Ovis aries: one gene and its partner. The protein of the gene in region 1 interacts with the protein of each later gene in a pairwise test. Links are inferred from orthologs where the notes say so. Each region holds a gene or a part of one and is shown on either strand. Other genes may lie near its edges.

Region 1 (6,141 bases):
ATGAGCTGAAATGTAAATACATCTCTCTTTTTACACAACTTTAGTATTGCTCTCCACCTTGCTTTGATCGTTTAATAGTATCATCTTGGAAATTGTTGCATGTCTAAATTTTGTACTTTGTTAATTGGAACAGCTTAGGTGCCTTAAACAACCAAAGTTTATTTCTCATAGTTCTGAAGGCTGGAAGTCCAAGATCAAGGTGTCAGCATGGAAAGCTTCTGGTGAGAACTCTCTCCCTATCTTATAGACAGCTGCCTTCTGGCTGTGTCCTCACATGGTGGAGAAAGATCCAAGTTTTCTGGTGTTTCTTCTGATAAAGGCACTAATGCCATCATGAGGGTCCCACCCTCATGACCTCATCTAAATCTACCTCCCCAAGCCCCCATCTCCAAATAACATCACTTATTTTTATATGTGGGCTCAGTCGCTCAGTTGTGTCTGACTCTGCGACCCCATGGACTGTAGCCTGCCAGGCTCCTCTGTCCATGGGATTTTCCCAGGAAGAATACTGGAATGGGTTGCCATTTCTTCCTTCAGGAGATTTTCCTGACCCAGGGATCAAACCCTAGTCTCCTGCATTGGTAGGCAGATTCTTTACCACTGTGCCACCTTGGAAGCCCACATACCATCATTTGTTATGTTAGGGCTTCAATATATGATGGTGGGGAGGGGGCACAGACCATAACATTTTTTTATGTCACTTTATTTTTTAATTGAAGAATAATTGCTTTACAGAGCATTTTTTTTCACATTTAAAAATATTGAGGTAAAACATTTACAAAGCTAATGGCGTCTTTTTACTGGCTGCATAGTATTTCATAGCAGAGATTACATCAGGGCCCTAGGAATGCACACATGTTGAGTCCAACATTTGGCATTTAAACACAGTATTGCAATAAACATCTATGTACATACATCCTCCTAAACATGTGCAGGGGTACCTTGGATAAATTACTGCACATATCACTGCTGGGTCTCAGGGCTTGTAGATGTTAATTTTGAGATATACCAGAGGTTTCCTTTGGCATGTGGAAAAGGGTGTGGGTTTGCTCACAGCCTCAGCCACTCCCCATACAGGATTTGGCAGTTATGCTATGGCACCACCTCTGGAACCACTCAGAACCACAGCTTCGCCACCGCCACAGGCATGGGAGGAGTAGCAAGGAACCCCAGGCCAGCCTTCTTCTGCGTGGGATTAATCCCAAACCCAGAGCAGGGAGGCAGAATCTTCCAAATTCACCCCGGGGGCAGGGGGAATCCTTTCTTAGACCAGTATCTGTTCAGTCTAGAGTTTCAGACGGACGGGCTCTTAAAGAAAAGAGGGAAAAAAAAAAAACCCACATACATTTAAAAGTTAACTTTATATAACAAAGAGCATAAATGGAAAATCAGTATCACTTTCCATGAAAAATAACAATCATTCATATTTATTGAGCGCTAGCATTCTCAATTAGTTCTCCCAATAATCTACCAGGTAGGTGCCTGTACTATTAACATCTATTGCTACGTGGTGTCCAACTCTTTGAGACCCCATGGACTGTAGCCCACCAGGCTCCTCTGTCCATGAGATTTCCCAGGCAATAATACTGGAGTGAGTTGCGATTTCCTTCTCTAGGAGATCTCTTCGATCCAAGGAACGATCCTGTGTCCCCTGCATTGCCGAAGGATTCTTTACCGTTGAGCCACCACGGAAGCCCTGTTAACATTTTAAGAGGAAGGAAATTGAAGCATGGAGCGGTTAAATTATAGGTCCAGCCGGGCAGAGCTAGAGTGGCAGAGCCGGAGTTCGAATTCCCAACTGCGAGCTCCTCGCGCCTCCAGATTGGAGATAAAAAATAAAAACAATGAAAACCCCAGTAGGTAGGTAGACAGCTCTGTCTGGATCCTTCGGCCACCTGAACGTGAGGCCTGCACTGTGTGGAGTTAAAAGAAGCGCAGGTCGTGGGAAGCGGACTAGCGCTGAGACGACGAAACCAGGCGGATGGAAGGGACTGCGAAGGGGTGGGGGGACAGGCCTGGTGGGCTTAGCCGTGCGCCCTTGCCCGCCGCCCTATTCCTCGCCCATGGGCGCCGGGCACCTGAGGGAAGGGCGGGGAATCACGACTCCTTCCCCGCCGCGCCCTCTCCGCCCTCTCCCCGCCTCCTTCTCGGGCGTCCCGAGGCTAACCCCCCACTCGACGGCCGCGACCCCGTAGGCCCCGCCGCCCCGGAGCCCAGCCACAGCCCCCCTTCCCCGCCGCCCCGGACAGTGGAAGCGCTCGCGGGTCTTCAACAGCGAAAGTCAGGCGGGAGCCGCCCCCGGGCCAGGCCACGGCCCCTCGGGCTTCCCGGAAGCTCGGTGCGCGGGTGGCACCAACGTGCCCGGAGCCACCGCCGCGCCCCCTGGCATCCCCACCCCGCGGTGAGAGTATCGGAGGCTACGCAGGTGAACGCGCAGGCGGCGGCGGGGAGGGGTATCCGGTGATCCCGGGTGCAGGGAAGCGCTGGGCCTCGAACCCAGGTCTTTGATTCTAGGCGGCTCCGACCACGCGGGCTGGGTGCGCCCAGGGCTGGGTCCTTGGCCCCGCCGCGATTATCGGCACTGCGGACGCCGCTCTGGGGCTGCGCAACTGGCAACAGCGAGCGTGGGCGGGGAAGGGCGGGGGGGGGGGGGTGGGGAGCGGCCCGCCGCCGTCTCCGCCGCCCGAGGCCCGGGGCCGCGGGGACTTTTATTCTGACACGGCCGGCTCCCGGCTCTGCTTAGTCATGGTGACCTGCGCGCGTTCCGCGCCTCCCCCCTGCGAGCTGCGATGGAGGCGCCCGGGCCTGGGCGACGGAGGCGGAGCCCGAGCGCGGCCATGGCGGGGTGAGTGAAGCGGCCCGCGCCCGGGCTGAGGGCACCGAGGGTCTAGAGTGCTCTGCGACCGTGGCCGGGGGCCGGAGCGCTGGGCGATGCGGGGCCCGGTCGCCTCGGGGTTTCCCGCGGCTCCGCGGACGGCCAGGAGGGCGCGGCTCGAGTCCGGACCTTTTGTTGGACGGCGCGACCGGCGGGTGAATCCTGGAGCGAGAGGCCCAGGAAGCGTCGCTCGGACGGAATCCCGGGGATCCCGGGGCGTTTGTGGCGGGGGGACCTTGGTCTGTGGCCCGGGGCTTGCGATGGAAAGGCCGCGGCGGGGTCACTTCCTCCCTTCTCTAGGCCTTGGCTGCGCCGGCGGGACATGCGCAGTCCCCCCACTTACCGCTTCTTGGGGGGGGGGGTTGGGGGGGGTGGCAGAGGGGGAAGTGTCCAGTGCCCAGGGGGCACCGTTGACCGTTTGGCTAAAGACCAAGAGGCAGGCCCGGGCCTCGGCTGGGGAGAGGCGGCCAAGCAGTGTCCAGGGCACCGTGGAAGAGGAGGGTGCTTTGGCAGGCACAGTGGAGTGGGCAGTCAGCCAGCCACAGCTTAGTGACCCCTGCGTAGTGCCAGGCCCCAGGCGGACTGCAGGGGAGGCACAGGAGAAGGTGGGCAGGACCCTGACCCACACAGGGCTACGTGCCCTCTGAATCCTGAGGCTCAGGGCCAGAGAGACCCTTCATCCATCAGCAAGCAAGCAAGGGAGCTAATTTCCATTCCTGATAAGTGGTGTGATGGAAATAAAACAGAGAGGAGGTGACTCTGAGTGGAGCCCAGGGAACAATAAGATGAAGAACCTCTTGTAGATCCCCTGCCTTCTCTTTGCTTGAGTTTTTCAAACCCAACTCACGCCCTGACCCTCCAGACTCCGCAGGGTTCACTGACACCCTCCCTTCACTAGTGTTTCTCATCACACTCTTCCCTGATTCTCCAGGTCAGCTCTCATTCTGCCTCTGAGTCTTTGCACTCACTGTTGCCTCTGCCTGGAAAGCTAACAACCACCCCCCCCCGCCCCGCCCCCTTCATAAGTTCATCCTTCTAGTCCCAGCTCCAAGACAGGCCTGGACTACCTGATTTTAAATAAACACCTGCACGCTACACTGTCGCTTATTTCACTTATAGCCCTTTCCTCCCCAGTGTTGGCTCCAGGGGGGCTCAGTGCATGTCTGTCTGGCTCCTTGCTGTGTCCCTGGTGCCTAGAACAGTGCCTGGACATGCCTGAGAAATGTTGATGGGGTGAATGAAGGAATGAGTTGGACATGCTGTGAGAAGGGATGGACCCCAGAGAGCTGGAACAGAATGGGCAAAGGGAACAGGTGGACGGGAGCTGACTGTGAAAGGCTTTGCAGGCCGTTGAAGAGTTTGGTTTTACTCTTCATGCCACAGAGAGTGGTCGGGGGGATTCTGAGCAGGGGAGGGGCACCATGTGACCTAGGATTTAAGGTGGGCCCTTGGACTGGTGGGGCCATGGGTCAGTTAGGGAGCTCAAATGAACACTGCTTTACCTGGGCTTGGGAAGGAAAAGTGGTCTCCGAGTCACTTTATCTTGGAAAAGAAGGCCTAGCCCCCAGCCCTGTGCCCAGCCCTGTGCTCTCCCCCTCCAGGCCCCTGAGTGCCAGTGGTGGCGTTGTCCCTTGTCACCTGGAACCCCATGCAGCCGGAACCCAGGCCTAGCGGGGCCGGGGCCCATACCCAATTCCTACCCCTGAGATCACAGCGCCCCGAGGGGGCAGGGGACACGGTGATGTACGCCTCCACCGAGTGCAAGGCCGAGGTGACGCCCTCCCAGCATGGCAACCGCACCTTCAGCTACACCCTGGAGGACCACACCAAGCAGGCCTTTGGCATCATGAATGAACTGCGGCTCAGCCAGCAGCTATGCGATGTGACGCTGCAGGTCAAGTACCAGGACGCGCCTGCTGCCCAGTTCATGGCCCACAAGGTGGTGCTGGCCTCATCCAGCCCCGTCTTCAAGGCCATGTTCACCAACGGGCTGCGGGAGCAGGGCATGGAGGTGGTGTCCATTGAGGGCATCCACCCAAAGGTCATGGAGCGGCTCATTGAGTTCGCCTACACCGCGTCCATTTCCATGGGGGAGAAGTGTGTGCTCCACGTTATGAACGGCGCTGTCATGTACCAGATCGACAGCGTGGTCCGTGCCTGCAGCGACTTCCTGGTGCAGCAGCTGGATCCCAGCAATGCCATCGGCATTGCCAACTTCGCTGAGCAGATCGGCTGTACGGAGCTGCACCAGCGTGCCCGGGAATACATCTACATGCACTTTGGGGAGGTGAGTGAGGGATGGGGACATGGCACCAGGGCTTCAGAGCAGCCTTGGAGGGCCAGGAAACAGACAGGTGGTCATCACCATCTCCCCTTGAGAGGTGAAGGATCAAGGCAAGGAGATGGAGAAAAGTAGGGTTGAGCTCCCAGTCTAGATGTCTGTGACAAATCTAGGAAACAGCTGAAGAAAGTGAGACTGTCATGGATGTCTGGGCTCCCTGGGGTCAAAGGTGGGGACAGAGGGCAGTGACTCTGACAGCAGTTCCACCGTAGGCTGCCCTGAGCAGGGCCTGACGTTCCAGGCAGTCAGTAAATATTTATTGAACACCCGTGACATGCTGTCAATGGCCAGTGTGACCCTTACACTGTGGTGGTTTTCTTTAGTCCACAGAGTATTGTGCTCAGACTAATCTTTGTTTCATTTTCATTTTCAAGTGGAGGAAGTTGTGAGTAGAGAACATGAGTGCTTGTTGAGTACTTGGTGTGGGCCAGCCTCTGTTCTAAGTGATTTCCAGCCTTTAAATCTGAGTCTTCCCAGCTATCCTAGGAGGAGGTATGCTTTGGAGTGCCTTCCTGGATTTTTTTTTTTTGCTACACCACACAGCTTGCAGGATCTTAGTTCCCTGACCAGGGATGGAACCCTGGTCCTGGCAGTGAAAGCCCTGAGTCCCAACCACTGGACCACCAGGGAACTCCCCCCTTCTGGAAATTTTTAAAATCATCCTCCCGTGGCTGGGACCAGCTAGGTGGACACTACCCTTGGTCTCTGTGCCTCTCCTTCTCTACCATCTTGGGGGTTGACCAGATGCCCCAAGAAGCTCTGACATTAGTCTTAGGACTTATGGCTTCCAGGATGGTGGCCCAAGAACAGGGTTGTCCCACTGACCTGCACAACAGTAGTGTCAAGGGGTTGTCTCGGCTTGAGGTAACAGGAAGCTGGGATCCCGCTGATGTGGGGTGACAAATTATTTATATAGACCAGTGCC
Region 2 (4,981 bases), on another chromosome or scaffold:
CCCCATGCTTTGCCCAGAGTCATTGTTAGGTAACTCTGGTATACGTGACATTTTTTATTGCTTCAAGTTATTTGCCCTGTGTTAATCTTGATTGTTTTGTTATAGCATTTTTCAGTTGAAGGACAGTTGGAATTCAGAGCCCTTCTTTTTGTCCCAAGACGAGCTCCTTTTGACCTGTTTGAAAACAGAAAGAAGAAGAACAACATTAAGCTGTATGTTCGCAGAGTTTTCATCATGGATAACTGTGAGGAGCTAATCCCTGAATACCTGAGTAAGTATAGTCTGATAGAAGAAACTGTCACTGTTACTAGTCTAAGAGATTAATCCTGTCAGCTCCTGGTTTTTAAACTAAACATGGGGAAAATCATTCATCTTTGGTTTTTTGGGTTTACGGATTTGTCAGTTTTTGTCTTTGGAGTGACTGGCTGCATTTGGTCTGTTTCAGATTTCATTAGAGGTGTGGTGGATTCTGAGGATCTTCCTCTGAACATTTCCCGTGAGATGTTGCAACAGAGCAAAATTTTGAAAGTTATCAGGAAGAATTTGGTCAAAAAGTGCTTGGAACTCTTCACTGAACTGGCAGAAGATAAGGAGAACTACAAGAAGTTTTATGAGCAGTTCTCTAAAAATATTAAGGTTGGTTAGAAACACATTTGACTATTAAGAGTAGTAATCAAACTGATTTTCCTTTTGAAATAATTGAACACAGAGAAAGTCTTTCTAAAGCTAACATTGTCTTTTCAGCTTGGAATACATGAAGATTCCCAAAATCGGAAGAAGCTTTCAGAGCTGTTGAGGTACTATACGTCTGCTTCTGGTGATGAGATGGTTTCTCTCAAGGACTATTGCACAAGAATGAAGGAAAACCAGAAACACATCTATTACATCACAGGTACCTTACAGGCAATAACTGTGACAGTCGATCTTTTTGTGATCCCATAGGAACAGTTGCACGTTTTCTACCCGTGTGGTGGTACACATAATTTAGTAGGAGTTAATCTAACCGAAATAAATGAGACTGCTGTTAAAAGATATAAAACTTCTGTTTCTTAGGTGAGACAAAGGACCAGGTAGCCAACTCGGCCTTTGTGGAGCGTCTCCGGAAGCATGGTTTGGAAGTGATCTACATGATTGAGCCTATTGATGAGTACTGTGTGCAACAGCTGAAGGAGTTTGAGGGGAAGACCTTAGTGTCAGTCACCAAAGAGGGCCTGGAACTTCCAGAAGATGAGGAAGAGAAAAAGAAACAAGAAGAGAAAAAGACAAAGTTTGAAAACCTCTGCAAAATCATGAAGGACATTTTGGAGAAGAAAGTTGAAAAGGTGTGTGAATACCATCTTTTTTCTTATATTTTCTGGTTACTAACCCTTCTTAGGGGTGTTAGGTGTCTTTTGAACAAGTCACATATACATAGTCCTTAACATCTTTAAAGACATTAGAACTTAAAAGGAACTTAAAGCTTCGGATTTGCAATAGTATTTGCAAATAGTATTTGATTCATTAATACTCAAGTTCCTTAAATATTCAAATAAACCTGGTGACAAGCACTGAGAATGGAACACCTCTGTGCCCAGTTATCGCTGTATACCTTTTTTTTATGAAAGGTGGTCGTGTCCAACCGGCTGGTGACCTCCCCGTGCTGCATTGTCACAAGCACATACGGCTGGACAGCAAACATGGAGCGGATCATGAAGGCGCAAGCCCTGAGAGACAACTCGACGATGGGTTACATGGCAGCCAAGAAGCACCTGGAGATCAACCCTGACCATTCCATCATCGAGACCTTGAGGCAAAAGGCAGAGGCTGACAAGAATGACAAGTCTGTGAAGGATCTGGTCATCCTGCTGTACGAAACAGCGCTCCTGTCTTCTGGCTTCAGTCTGGAGGATCCCCAGACACACGCCAACAGGATCTACAGGATGATCAAACTTGGTCTTGGTAAGCCTTGTGCAAGTACCATGTGTAATACCATTGGGGGAAAACCTAAACAGATGACTGTTGAAAAGGGTGAACTTTCAGCAATTTCAACAAAGTTGGGCACTCTTGTTTTTCCATTTGCAAAACACTGAAGTCACATGAGTTAAAAGGGGGTAAATAAGCCCCTTTCGTCATGTCGCTTCTAATTCGCTCAGCCTTGAGAAGCGGGTATGAGGAACCTGTAGTGTTGGACTAATTATGCGGCTTGAAGAAACTTAATCCGTGTTTTTTATTTCCTTCAAGGTATTGACGAGGATGACCCCACTGCTGACGACAGCAGCGCTGCAGTCACTGAGGAAATGCCGCCCCTGGAAGGAGACGACGACACGTCCCGCATGGAGGAAGTAGACTGAGCGCTGCCGAGGCTCGCCTGGCGGTGTGTTCAACGCGCTGTCTCCGTTCCCTCCAATATGTTCTCGAGTATTTCTTTATTTTTGTTAACATTTAAAATCTGTATGGCATGACAACTGCATAAGGGGAGGATAAGATTTCTTTATACTAAGTGTGATACTGTGATACTTTTAGCACTAAAGCAGAGCTCGTTTTTTCCTAGTTTCATGTTGGCTTATTTTAACAGATGGAAGTAGTTAACCTTTGTTGTAAGGTGTGTGTAACCTCTGTTAACTTTGTGGTCTGAAGTGTTTAGCTATCAAGCGGATTCTTTAGTAGACCAAAATTTTCTGTCACTGAAGTGTTCTGAAGTATATACCTTGGTGTTTAAAAGAAACACTTATTACAGCAAGTTTTCATCTTCTGGGATATACTTTTTAAAACTTCCATCCCCTGTAGTTATGACTGCATGTGCCAGGCCTCTAGAAGTTAGTATGTTAAGCTGAACCAACTTGATTGGAGTCACTGTCCATACATAGGGCTTGTTTTCCAAAGAAAAATATTGTTTAGAGTAGCAAAATTATAAGCCTGCCCAGGCATGTTGTAAAGCCTCTGGAAAGGTAACTTGGAGCCAGTTTTGTGAATGGAAATGTAGTGCTCAAGTCACATTCTGCTTCAAAAAGTTGTAACAAATACAGATGAATTAAAAGAAATGATGTGTGATGTCTTACTTGTGGGGGTGGTCCCAGAATGTAAAACATGAGGGGTGCGCCTCTTCCCTAGAGGAGAGTCAAGGGAGCAGGTGGTTGGTGTGGCCTCCCTAGAGCCTACTGCTGTGACCTTAGGGTGCTCAGGCCACATGTTTGGGGGTGAGCCTCTATACTTAAAAGACAGGAGAATGGAACTTGCTGCTTTTGTGTCCATGTGTTAGACTTTATAATAACATCATTGTGCTTTAGAATTTCAATGTCTGAGCTGCACTCTGATGGTATTGGTGAAACGGGATGTGTAATAACCGCCCTTTTACTGCCTTGCCCTTATGAACCACAGCTGCTGAACACCTTCCCACCTGAAACCGTCTCTGCTGCTTGTTCTCTGGTTCTTTATTGAGCCTCAGGAAAGGTGTGTCCAGGAGGCTGCTGACAGACATAAGCACACAGCAGTTGGAGAGGGCAGGGGTGAGCATTAGAGTACTTGGTGGGAGGTCTACCCAGGATTTGGACCTAGAGTCAGAGAGGCCTGGAGAGTCCACAGACTGGAAGGTCTGTCATGGATAGTAAGTGCTGGTGGGTAGTAAGTGCCTGGGTGGGTAAGCAATAACCTTCTTTGATCCTTACCAATCTAATGCAGCAGCAGTTTTTAACTCCCCGGAGGGCTTCCCTGATAGTAAAGAATCTGCAACATGGGAGATCCTGATTCAATTCCTGGGTCAGGAAGATCTGCTGGAGAAGGGACAGGCTACCCACTCCAGTATTCTTGGGCTTCCCTTGTGGCTCAGCTAGTCTGGTGCCAGTGGTCCTGCTGTTCAGGAATTAATAATTGAAGGACAAAAAACAAGTTCTCTTATTTCCCACCTCTAGTAAGGAGACTAAGAATTCCATTCAAATTAAAAGTATTAGTCCTCTATAAAGTGTCTCCAGTGGAAAAAAAATGCCCACAGAGCATTTCCCCCCTGAATTATGGAAAGGCGTGTTAATGGCAGGCGTGTAATTGGAACTGCCCCCCAGCAAGCCCTGTGCTGGAGATGGACCACGGAGACCACAGGTGCCCACCCCTGGGGGTGAGAAGATGAGGTAAAGGACACAAACACCAGGCTGGTGCTGACCTTCAATTGTCAAGGGGTCCCCAACCTACTGCTGCCAAGTCCAGTCTTCACGCTAATGTAACTAGTCCCACGCTGATGAGTGTACAGAGCGCTGGGAAGCAGAGGTGGGTATGGTGCAAGATGGGAATGTGCTCAGTTGCTAACTTGTGACTGACGGTGACCTCCATGGACTCTAGCCTGCTGGGTTCCTCTGTCCATGGGCAAGAGGACTGGAGTGGGGTGCCATTTCCTTCTCCGGGGGATCTTTCCTAACCAGGCATTGAACCTGCTGCTCCTGCACTGACAGGCAGATAGTTTACCACTGACCACCAGAGTGGAAAAAGACTCACTCAGGGATTATGTGGTTGTGAGAAATCTACAAAACCGGCACAAGGATTCATCAGCAGAGCAAAGTCCTAAGACAGGAGATCAATATATGAAACAAATTTTGTTAGCAGGAAAAAAAGTCATCAGTATTTTAAAATGCCTGGAAAACAAAAACAAATTGTAATGGCATACTAAACAGGAATACATTTTAAAAGAAGTTATGCAAGACCCTGCATCTGAGAGCTGGAAAACAGAAATTAAAGACCAAGGTAAATGGAGAAAAGTGAGAGAAGCCAGACAAAAAAAACCACTACCTCCTGTAAGATTTCATAGAATTTTAGGTAAGGCACAGCTATGGAGTCTCAGAGGTTAAAGTGCCTGCCTCCAATGCGGGAGACCTGAGTTCGATCCCTGGGTCGGGAAGATCTCCTGGAGAAGGAAATGGTAACCCACTCCAGTGTTCTTGCCTGGAAAATCCCATGGACGGAGAAGCCTGGTAGGCTACAGTCCATGGGGTCGCAAAGAGTCGGACACGACTGAGCG

The links.
Region 2: the proteins of KEAP1 (region 1) and HSP90AA1 interact in a two-hybrid assay, tested with the Homo sapiens proteins (2 studies listed by BioGRID). The link is inferred for Ovis aries from reciprocal best matches to the Homo sapiens genes KEAP1 and HSP90AA1.

Annotation. Positions count from the first base shown.
Region 1 is NC_056058.1:12,866,891-12,873,031, reverse strand, and holds the start of KEAP1 (kelch-like ECH-associated protein 1), read left to right. Parts: upstream 1-2,153; 5' UTR 2,154-2,425; intron 2,426-2,768; exon of another isoform or gene 2,769-4,476; 5' UTR 4,477-4,523; coding exon 4,524-5,162; intron 5,163-6,141. UniProt on the Homo sapiens protein: Substrate-specific adapter of a BCR (BTB-CUL3-RBX1) E3 ubiquitin ligase complex that regulates the response to oxidative stress by targeting NFE2L2/NRF2 for ubiquitination.
Region 2 is NC_056071.1:64,569,578-64,574,558, reverse strand, and holds the end of HSP90AA1 (heat shock protein HSP 90-alpha), read left to right. Parts: intron 1-105; coding exon 106-271; intron 272-445; coding exon 446-636; intron 637-744; coding exon 745-892; intron 893-1,053; coding exon 1,054-1,322; intron 1,323-1,604; coding exon 1,605-2,069; 3' UTR 2,070-2,220; coding exon of another isoform or gene 2,221-2,330; 3' UTR 2,331-3,020; downstream 3,021-4,981. UniProt on the Homo sapiens protein: Molecular chaperone that promotes the maturation, structural maintenance and proper regulation of specific target proteins involved for instance in cell cycle control and signal transduction.